Schizosaccharomyces pombe: one gene and its partners. The protein of the gene in region 2 interacts with the protein of the main gene of each other region in a biochemical or structural test. Each region holds a gene or a part of one and is shown on either strand. Other genes may lie near its edges.

Evidence for each region.
Region 1: of the proteins of spt5 (region 2) and cdk9, one has a biochemical effect on the other in vitro, tested with the Schizosaccharomyces pombe proteins (3 studies listed by BioGRID).
Region 3: the proteins of spt5 (region 2) and prf1 form a complex in vitro, tested with the Schizosaccharomyces pombe proteins (2 studies listed by BioGRID, with this or other methods).

What each region holds. Positions count from the first base shown.
Region 1 is NC_003423.3:1,468,868-1,472,467, forward strand, and holds the start of cdk9 (P-TEFb-associated cyclin-dependent protein kinase Cdk9), read left to right. Parts: upstream 1-1,700; 5' UTR 1,701-1,812; coding exon 1,813-1,955; exon of another isoform or gene 1,956-2,006; coding exon 2,007-2,088; exon of another isoform or gene 2,089-2,208; coding exon 2,209-3,600. Other genes in the region: wdr8 (WD repeat-containing protein), read left to right, coding at 1-20, 93-168, 208-1,220. UniProt on the Schizosaccharomyces pombe protein: Component of the positive transcription elongation factor b (P-TEFb) which consists of cdk9 and pch1, and which phosphorylates the C-terminal domain (CTD) of RNA polymerase II and spt5.
Region 2 is NC_003424.3:1,061,541-1,065,374, reverse strand, and holds the start of spt5 (DSIF transcription elongation factor complex subunit Spt5), read right to left. Parts: upstream 1,632-3,834; 5' UTR 1,509-1,631; coding exon 1-1,508. Other genes in the region: BRCT domain protein Rad4, read left to right, coding at 2,514-2,579, 2,637-2,744, 2,811-3,834. UniProt on the Schizosaccharomyces pombe protein: The spt4-spt5 complex mediates both activation and inhibition of transcription elongation, and plays a role in pre-mRNA processing.
Region 3 is NC_003423.3:1,255,585-1,259,418, forward strand, and holds the start of prf1 (RNA polymerase II-associated Paf1 complex protein), read right to left. Parts: upstream 1,816-3,834; 5' UTR 1,803-1,815; coding exon 1,714-1,802; intron 1,664-1,713; coding exon 1,490-1,663; intron 1,443-1,489; coding exon 23-1,442; 3' UTR 1-22. Other genes in the region: Smc5-6 complex non-SMC subunit Nse5, read left to right, coding at 2,319-3,485; AP-3 adaptor complex subunit Apm3, read right to left, coding at 3,687-3,834.

The DNA of each region.
Region 1 (3,600 bases), on a different chromosome or scaffold from region 2:
TTCTCTGGTCGTCCTTTGATGTACGTTGTATCTAATAAAATTTGCACAACTTTTTGCTTATATATCTGCGATGCTAATAGCAAATTTTTTAGTCGAAGATTACTGTGTGGTCTTTAAATACCCAGAAAGGTTATTTGCTTCCACATGTAAAAACCAATGTTTCGAAAGGTATTTCTTGTCTGATATATCAATTTACTGACTGTTTAGTTTACGCTTTACATCCATCCATGCAATTCTGTACTATATTATCTCGTTTTAACGGTTCGGATTGCCTTCAATTTTACCAAATCAGCAAAAAGGCATGGATACTTCTTAAAGAGTGTAAGCTTCCTACAATAGATTCGACGGGTATCCATTGGTCGCCAGATGGAAACTGGTTAGCTGTTTTGGAAAACGTATTAGATGCAGTTGTTTATATTTATCATCGCACCGGTCTTCTTTTTCACGAATATCGACCAAATAGGTTAATTGAAGTCGGCTTTTCCGATTTTGAGTGGAGTCCCTTTGGCAAATATCTAACTTTGTGCAGTTACCATGATTCAACCTTACATCTACTTGAAACAAAAACTTTTAGTATAGTTTTTCGACTTCACCATTGTTTGCAATATACCAATACTGACTTGGAAATGCATATATGGGAAGAGAAGGAAACAATCTATGAGCAACAAATGACTTATCAAAAAGTACATAAACTCAGAACCGATTTCCCAGAACCCTCCTTTTGTTCAGCATCAAAAATACGTTTCAACTGTGATGAGACGTATGCTGCTACAATTACTTCTAAATATCCTAATGTTCTTTGGCTATGGAATTTACAGAATAAAAAACTGCACACTGTTCTTATTCAAAAACATCATATAGTGTATTTTGAATGGCATCCAGGTCGTCCCGATTTGGTGGTCATTCAAACAAAAATTAGGAAAGAATCCAAAATTCCGTCTAATGCTACATTCCTATACTTCTGGGCTTTAAGTTGGAATACACCCAGGGTCGTTGGAGTTCCAAAAAAAGGTTTTAATATTCAGAAGGTTCAATGGCTTCAACCATCAGAATTCAGTTCTCGTCCAGTTATAGTAATTTGTGGTGAAGATGCATATACCGTTGCTTACATTGTGGAAGATGAAGATGAATCATTTACCGAAGTTACTCAAACTATAATTTCTCAAGAAGTTTTAGATAATGAGTTAGAAACAACGCAAACGATTTCCATACCATCTTAAGGGATTTACTTTCTATCTTAAAAGTCTTAATTATTGTAACCATTTTTAAATATTCTTTTTATTTTACTAACGACCTAATTAATTCGCTTAATGTCTATAATATTTTAATGCACGTTCATTGTTCCCGCATGTAAAACATGAGCACCCTGAGCACCCCGTCAGCTTAAGGCCTTTGCATACCTCTTATAGTTTGAATGTCTTTTTCAGTCTATTCAACTATCTTTTTCTAAATTTAGTACGTACTATTCCTGAGTTTTAATAACTACTCTTTCCTGATTCATAAATTGTAAACTTTGCGCATTTATTTGAGATTAGGGAGTCCTTTGAAAGATATTTAAAACTAATGCAACTTTTTCCCTTTATAAAAAGCATTGTTTATTCTCTATACTTACAGTATTGTTTTCTCATTTTGAAACATAGCGCATTTTACTTCGCCTCCGTATTTAATGCATATAGTTGATAGTTGGGTCCACTTCCACTATATCCTCATCAGATGCAACATTTCGCGCATCGATCGGGTTTATACTACAATTTGTATAATTAACTTTATTCACTAATCGTTGGGATCTTTTGTATAATATAAGTTAAAAAAATGAAACGCTCAAGCAGCGTTTCTGTCGAAGATGAGAAATCAGCAAGGAGAAAATTAGATGTCGTACCCAAACTTCATTTTGTAGGGTGCAGCCATTTAACGGATTATCATTTAATGGAAAAATTAGGAGAAGGAACATTTGGGTATGTGTCAAATATCTGATTTTGAATTTTATCACTAACTTGGTTCACCAGCGAAGTTTACAAATCGCAGCGGCGTAAGGACGGGAAGGTATATGCGCTGAAAAGAATACTCATGCATACTGAAAAGGAAGGTGTAAGTAGATGTTTGTTTAGATTCTTGTTCATTTTGACAGAATGACTTGGGACGCATCGACTTGATTGCGTTAATTGTTTTAATTAATTCATGAATAAATACTAAAGCATTACATTTTAGTTTCCCATTACAGCCATTCGCGAAATAAAAATTTTAAAATCGATTAAACACGAGAATATTATTCCATTATCTGATATGACTGTTGTTCGTGCAGACAAGAAGCATCGACGTCGTGGTTCTATATATATGGTGACTCCTTATATGGATCATGACCTTTCAGGTTTATTAGAAAATCCAAGTGTAAAATTCACGGAGCCGCAAATTAAATGCTATATGAAGCAATTGTTTGCTGGAACCAAATACTTACATGATCAGCTTATCCTTCATAGAGATCTTAAAGCTGCTAATTTATTGATTGATAATCACGGGATTTTAAAAATTGCCGATTTTGGTCTCGCACGTGTGATAACGGAGGAGTCATATGCAAACAAAAATCCTGGCTTGCCTCCACCTAATCGTAGAGAATACACTGGATGTGTGGTTACACGCTGGTATAGATCACCAGAACTTTTGCTTGGCGAGCGTCGTTACACTACCGCTATTGATATGTGGAGCGTGGGATGCATCATGGCCGAAATGTATAAAGGAAGGCCAATCCTTCAAGGAAGTAGTGATTTGGACCAATTGGATAAAATCTTTCGCCTTTGTGGATCACCAACTCAAGCTACTATGCCAAATTGGGAAAAGCTTCCTGGGTGCGAAGGCGTTCGCTCTTTTCCTTCACACCCTAGAACACTTGAAACTGCATTTTTTACTTTCGGAAAGGAAATGACTTCTCTTTGCGGTGCTATTTTGACCCTTAATCCGGATGAACGTTTATCTGCTTCAATGGCTTTAGAGCATGAATATTTTACAACACCACCATATCCAGCAAACCCTTCTGAACTACAGAGCTACAGTGCTTCTCATGAGTACGACAAAAGAAGGAAAAGAGAACAGAGAGATGCTAATTCACATGCGTTTGAACAAACCGCTAATGGTAAGAGACAGTTCCGGTTCATGACTCGTGGACCTAGCGATCCGTGGTATGGAATTCGTCGGCCAAATTATAACTCACAACCGCAATACCAACGTGGTTCGTACAATCGTGAAGGCGGTAACATGGATAGAAGTCGTAATGTTAATTATCAGCCTAAGCGTCAGCAAAATTTTAAACCTTTAACGTCTGATTTGCCACAGAAAAATTCCGAATTTTCTGAAACTAACGCTATGAATCAAACTTCTAATCATTCTCATGCAGACGGTCAACGCTACTACCGGCCTGAACAAGACCGATCTCAACGATTAAGAAACCCCTCGGATTACGGCCGTCAAGGAAGACAATCTTCCCAGTCTCAACAACCAGCATGGAATGTGTCCTCCAGATACCAGAATAATAGCAAAGTACAAACGACATCTCGAGCAAGCGAAAATGCGGATACCAACAAAACACAACACAATATTAAGTACATT
Region 2 (3,834 bases):
ACCATGGTAATAACGCTACCTCGAACATTTTCAACAACACCACTTACTCCAGTCTGCTCACCAACATATACCTCGACATGATCTCCAGGCTGAAATTCAGCATGGCCCCCTTTGACGCTGAGAGCCAAAGAGCTGAGATCCAAATCCTCATTATTAGGATTGAATTTGGATACCTCGTCAAGTGTAGGATTAACTCCTTCAGTTATCAGTGAGGAAATACGAATGTCCTTTACCAAAAATCCATCTTCGAACTCTTCATTGTTGAAGAGGAAAAGTCTAGGACCACGTTTAGAAAACTTAGAAGGATTGCTTTTAAATGCTTCGCTTTCATTAAAGAGTCTTGCTTGAGGACGAGTGGCAGAATTCTTTCGTTTCAACCCATCGGAATAATCAATACGAGGAACTATACGTACACGTGCGGTTAAACCATTTTCTGAAAGGTTGTCAACCTGAGCGAGATCACCGGCGTACTTTCCACGGCGTATACGCACATATGCACCAGGCAACAGTTCAACAACCTGTTTTTGAACTTTGAGTAAATCCGGCATTTCCTTAATTGGAACTAAAATCATGTTATTTGTATAAACATTTAAAACCCCATTAAGTGCATCTAGAACATGTGATTGCTTTCGAGCTTCAACGTATATATAACCGACCAGCGAGTCACGTTGAAATGCTGAAATGATTTCTAATGGAGAGCTAGTATATTGCAAATCCATAGCTTTCCGCATTATGGTAAAAACAATATCCTTTTCTTTGCCAATTTTACAGCGAACAGCCCAAATATTGGGATCATTCACTGAAGGAAGTAGAAGACGTTGGGGAACATTGCTTGTATCTCCAACAACAGTTTGGCTACGACCATACTTTTCACGATACTCCTCAGCAAGGCGTTCAGCATCAACAGATTGTAGTTCCTGTCTTTGACGGTCAAGTTCACGATGGCGACGATCATCACCGACGTAATCCGCTCCAACTTCTTCTTCAATGAAACCATCTTCACGACCAATTTCATCTTCCTCATCTTCAAGCTCTTCCTCGTCCTCATCTACTTCTGCTTCAATATCAAGGAATTGGTTGCGGCGGTCATGGCGAGCCCTTTTTCTTCTACCGCCACCTGATTCATCTTCATCTTCCTCGTCTTCCTCATCATCTTCTTCATCCTCTTCTTCCTCTTCGTTTGCATCAGCTTCTTCCTCGTTTTCTTCAACATTATCCTCATCTTCTTTTTTGTCATTGTTATTTACATTATCGACTTCGTTTTCATTCCCATCTTCGCCTTTATTAATTGTGGTATCATTTGGACTTTCGTTATGGGAATCCACGGGAGAACTCTGTTTTTCATTTGTAGTAATTTTAGCAGCTTCAGAATCATCATTCAGCAAGTCACTTCCATTGGGGGATGCACGGGTAGAATTGATTTTAACTGAAGCAGCATCTTGCTCAGCTGCATCTACCTCAGTCGAATTTGCATCTTTATCAATAGATTTCGGAGAATTCGTATCCATTGTGACTTAAAAAAGAGGAAATAGTACCTATTCCCTCAATGCTTTGTTTTTAGACCTTTAATCTAATATAGGCGATAGGTTCGCCGATTAATGAACTTTTTATTCAACAAGTGGTGTTTTGTTAAAGGTGACTTACAGTACGTACTGCTGCCCTATTTTACCAAGCAAGTAGGTCTTGTATGGCTTGCAGCGACAAGAGTATAGATATACGAAAGAAGCAATTTAGAATGGAATACTTACGGTTTTTTTGTAAAATCAAACTTTTGCTTTAAAAGTATTTGCTTTAATGGTAAGCTTGAGCAATTGCCACTGCTGGTAAACAAACTTGTATACACGAAATGCCATACACAATCTTAAAGTTAGACTTGGTTTAATTGAAATTAAAGATAATGGGATGCTCAGATTATCAATAAATTCATCTTACATTTAAATTGTAATATTATGTTATATTCCATATAACTATGAACCCTTTAGGGCAATATCCCTTTGCGTTACTAAAATCCAATATAAATATTAAACTGGATAAGAGGATATTTTTTACCGAGAGAATATAGGACAAAGGTGGTGTCCATATACTATCTTCTTACTCAATAAATCTTATAATTATGATACAGGTTAAATGAGGAATAATATAATAGCCAGCTCTTGGTGCTTGTTCATAATTTCCCCCAAACCAATGATGCTACTCAGCTATACAGCATCGTGTACATTGCCAATACAGTCGAGTTTTTCGAATAAATGCTTAAAATTTAATTTTGGCCTTTTATGACTCTCCATTTGTCAATCTTCGCACCCACCACGGTAGCATATAACAACTTGGTTTTAGCTTCAATCTACTCTTAACCTTCGAAAGTCGATTTTCTCTAAACATTCTTTATTTTCCCTTTTAAACATTACCAATTTTTGCATTTCCTCACAATAATATGTAGTGGTGATGGACGCGTTTGTACTCGTAAATTACCTATACCTACTCACCTAGAACTCATAAATGTCGGTAGTGAAAGAATGGGTTCTTCTAAACCACTCAAAGGCTTCGTGATATGTTGTACCAGTATCGATTTAAAGCAAAGGGTAAGATTTTTGCACGACGAATCGCATTTTTTGTTATTTGTGTTACTAACTTGACAGACCGAGATATCTACAAAAGCAACTAAACTTGGTGCTGCCTATAGATCAGACTTTACTAAGGATGTCACGCATCTTATAGCCGGCGATTTTGATACTCCAAAATACAAGGTATGTCGTAAAATCTTACAAATTACACTATCCTTCAAGAGTAAATGCTGACATTCTTTTCAATAGTTTGCCGCAAAATCCAGACCAGACATAAAGATTATGTCTAGTGAATGGATACCTGTTCTTTATGAAAGCTGGGTACAGGGAGAAGATCTGGATGATGGCCTGCTCGTCGATAAACACTTTCTACCAACTCTATTTAAATGCCGGGTTTGTCTTACCAACATTGGCCAACCAGAGAGATCTCGTATTGAAAATTATGTGCTTAAGCATGGTGGTACATTTTGCCCTGACTTAACTAGAGACGTAACTCATTTAATAGCTGGCACCTCATCGGGTCGCAAATATGAATATGCATTAAAGTGGAAAATCAACGTAGTTTGCGTTGAATGGTTATGGCAAAGTATACAAAGGAATGCTGTCCTTGAGCCGCAGTATTTCCAATTGGATATGCCAGCCGAAAAAATTGGACTTGGCGCGTATGTTCGTCTAGATCCCAATACTACGGAGGCAAAGTCTTATTCTGAAAACCAAAAAATAAGCAAGAATAAAGAAAAGTCTGGTCAATCCTTGGCTGCATTGGCGGAGGAAGCGGATTTAGAACCCGTGATTATGAAACGGGGAAAGAAGAGAGATAGAAGTATTTTATGGGAAGAACTTAATAATGGAAAATTTGAATTTTCCAGCCGTTCTGAAGAAAATTCAGTACTACTGGATGATTTCACTCCCGAAACTGTTCAACCCTTAGAAGAAAACGAATTAGATACGGAACTCAACATCGAAAACGAAGCTAAACTTTTTAAAAATTTGACTTTTTATCTTTACGAGTTTCCAAACACTAAGGTCTCCAGGCTTCATAAATGTTTGAGCGATAATGGAGGCCAGATTTCTGAATTTTTGTCTTCTACCATTGATTTTGTCGTTATACCTCATTATTTCCCTGTCGATGAATTGCCCATCTTCTCATTTCCTACAGTTAATGAGTGGTGGATAGAAAGGTGTCTTTATTACAAAAAAATCTTTGGAATCGATGAACATGCCTTAGCAAAACCTTTTTTTCGTCCATCTCTGGTTCCTTATTTTAATGGTC
Region 3 (3,834 bases), on a different chromosome or scaffold from region 2:
TAAAACGCGAGAATACTGAGAATTAAATGTTGATATCAATGCCAAAATCCACAGTAGCAATAATATCATCAATTCCGTGAACAGCTTTTTCGTGAAGTTTGAAATCTTTGTCCTCCAACGTGTTCGGGGTTTGAGTCACTGCAATGCCTTCGTCAAAAATTTGGGATTCAGAAGGTAATAGCTTAGGACTCAGGTCAGGAGATGATGCCTTTTCAGAGGCAACGACGACTGATTCACTGGGGTTCAGCTTTGGGGTAGACATAATGGAGGTAGAAAGGGAAGGTGAAGGTTGAGGACTTGTTCCCGTCAGTACGGAAGTAGGTGCAGACATTGGTGTGGCAGTAGCCGCTGCTGAGAGGCGTCTTCGTTCTTCATTCATACGCTGCTCTGCCAGGCGAATTTCGGTATGGTTGCGGCGTCGATTACGTTCATTCACTTTGGCAAGTTGATCCATGGCAGAATTACTATTTTGGTTAGATCCCATGGAAAGTTCTTCCAAAGTGTTTAATTGATCGTCAATCTCCTTGACCAATTCTGCATTACCAGCAACATAAGCAGCTTGTCTCCTTTGACGAAGACGGGTCTTTTCAGCAGCGATGTTCGAAGGAACACGCGATAACTCTTTCTTCCTGTTAATAATATCAGAAACCTCCTTTTCGCTTAAAACGTATTTACTCATATCCCTGAGGTCATTCAGCTTTCGTTGTACAAAATTTTTAGAGGGCATGGAAAGCTTATCTTCCATCATTTGGTGATGCCATCGTTGGAAATCATGGTCGGAAAAAGGCTCATTTGATAAGACGTTGACATCGAACACTCTTTTCGAGCGACCATGAAAACATTCCAGTGAAACTTTAGTTAAAACACCATCAACACGATACGGCTTTCTGCTTTCTAAAATACCCTTGACTTGACATAAGCGATATACACCTTGTCCATCACGCTCACCAATTTTAACCCGAACAAAGCATCCAGTGACGGTGGACTCAAAGATAGGATGATACATGTACTCCGCGACATGTTTACGCCCAAGACGAATTGCATTTAAATCGTACAAATTGGCGGATGCATTATCTTTTGAAACTTGTTCAACTTTTTCCTCAGCATAGCTGGGAGAGTAACCTTCCTCTTCTTCGCTCTTCTCCGACTCATTCTGTTCTTCATAATCGGAAACAGGGCTCCTTTTTCTAGTTCTTTCAGAGACGCTTCTAGCTGAACGTTCCTGGCGGCGCTTTTTCAGCTCAGTAAGCTTATCACGTTTGCCAGCGGCTGCTGAAGTTAAAGGCTTGTCACGAGTAGACCTTCTAGTAGATTGCGCCATATACTGAGCATTTTGCTGATGGAGGCGAATTGCCAATTCACGCCTTTCCATCAACTTTGAAATTTCTTCTTCACGTTCGAAGAGAATACTCTCTCTCTCAATTTCCGTCATTGCCATTATCCTTTATTTGGTTAGACAACTTTATGAAAAATGTAAAAATCAACGTACTTTGCTCTGTCTGCTTCATCTTTAAACTTGCCCTCTAGACGATACGGGTTTTTGAATTTTTCTTCAAATTCGTCTTCCGACTTCTCATTTCCTTCTCCTCCAGACTCTTCCGCATAATCCTGTCCAACATTTTCATTATTGTCTTCGTCTGAACTGCTGCTCAACACATCATCTCTAAAATATGTTTTGTTAGCAAGGTCAATCCGATAAATTTGCTTTCTTACAAATCATCATGAGCCCTTTTACGGTTTGAAGCAACATCTGAGTCATCAATACCAGCTAATGCCAACAATTCATCCTGAAAGTCGGCCATCTTGGTGGAGGACAGGATCAGATTAGCTAGATACCTGACTAATAACGGTTCCAAGGACTCTCCACCAATTTCATAACAGCAGCGAAACTTTTATCTACTAGCTTTCAAAGGTACTATCTGCTAGTACATTAAAAGAATAATGTTTTTATAATTTGAAAAGTGATTTTTTTTTTAATTTTTTTTTTACGAAATAATTTTTGCAGATGTTGTCTTCCTTGGTTACAAACCTTATCGTTGAAAGCTTCCTTTTAAAATACTGCTCATTTGGGGTCCTCCTCTTTCCCTCTTTTTGAATATATTTCTTCTGTCGCGTAAAAACTTCAAACTGAGAATTCTGCATTTTGTTACAATATAAAATTCGTGAATCAAACCATTCAATAATAATCACAAGACTGTAAATAGGGCACATGTTAAATGCTCTTTTACAAAGAAAATCGTTTTAAGAAATAAGATATCTCTTCCATATCTGGCTTCTTTTACATATAAAGTAGCAAAGATTGCTTACGCCATTTCAAAATGAACTCGGCTCTAAAGGCAATAATAGAGCTTTGTATTGAAGAAGACTTGTTGCCAAAATCATTAGATGTTTTAGAATATCTTCTATCGACGACCTCTATACCAATTCCAGCTTGTTATATACGAATGTGCATAACTCTTCTAGTCCACCCAGAATATCCTACCTCTTCTAATATTCAAGAAAGCTGTAATTGGATATTACAGCAGGTGGTTGAGAACAGAAGCAAAATCAACTTTGACGCATGGTCATTTGAAAATGATCTATCGGACAACGATATGCCTAAAGAAAATTATCTGAAGATTTTCTCCAACCAATGCTTATTTACCCAAGATGTTGATTATTGGGATCTAATTGCATACATGTCTTCTCGTCCTCCTGACCTTGAACGTTGGATGTCCTTGATGGACATATGGTTAAGGATATTAGAGATCGATGCTGAGGAAAACGGATCTGCGTTGATGAAAAAATACATGGGAGAAGATTTGTGTGAACTTCAAGATGCCATCAGAATTTGCTTCTCCTGTTTCACTCTTCCCCAGCAAACAATGGAATCACCTTTTGCAACAAGTATGTCCAAAGCACCTGCTAAAACAGAAAGTCGAGGTTCAAATAGTTTTGAAGGAACATCAAGACTAGCAAACCTAGGTGCCAAACTCTTATGCCTTATATGGGCTATGCTTCCGAAGGGAAGATTTTTTGTTGTACATCTGACAGACGCTTTTCATTTTCTTAGCAAACTCGACGAACGTTTTTCAAAACTGAATGCGAAACAACAAGATCTTTTCTTTGGAAACTTAGGCGCCTCCAATCTCCGGTATTGCCTGAGCCAATATATACTTATGAAAGGAATAGGTATTGGAATTAACATACGCCATACACGTTGTGAGTTTACTAAACAGCTAACTCAACTTTTACCCACTTCCCTTCCGAAAAACAAAATCAGACAGAAGCTACATCTACGAGCATGGGTCTCATTTTTGGGTTCGGCCCTTCGTGAAAGTGATCGCAACTTTGATAAAGAGCTATTTTACACAACGTTGAAGCAGTTATACACAATGTATCAACAAACAGAATTAGTTGGTATTGATAGACCAATGGCAATACTCAAAGACATGCTTGTATTATTAGATATTTCAAAAAAATTGTCCTTGGATAAAATCGTTTAACTTAATAATTTAACTACAAATTAACAGAAGTCATTTGGCATTAATTGTGTATCCTAATATATATAGACTATATGTATCGTTTCAATGAATGAGGCTTTGTGTGGAAAATAATTATTATAATCATTAGTGATAACTAAGAAAATGAAATTTATATGAATAATATATAATAAACAAACGGGTAGATAGAAAGTAAATTAATTATTACCGAAAACGAAATGAAACATTTTGTGCAATAATTGTATGCTTGACCCCTTTATAAGATTTTTTATCTGGATGATTAAGCATCTTCAATGACTCTACTTTAAAATTATGAAGGGTTGATCCTTGAAGTTTATATTGTAAATCAAGG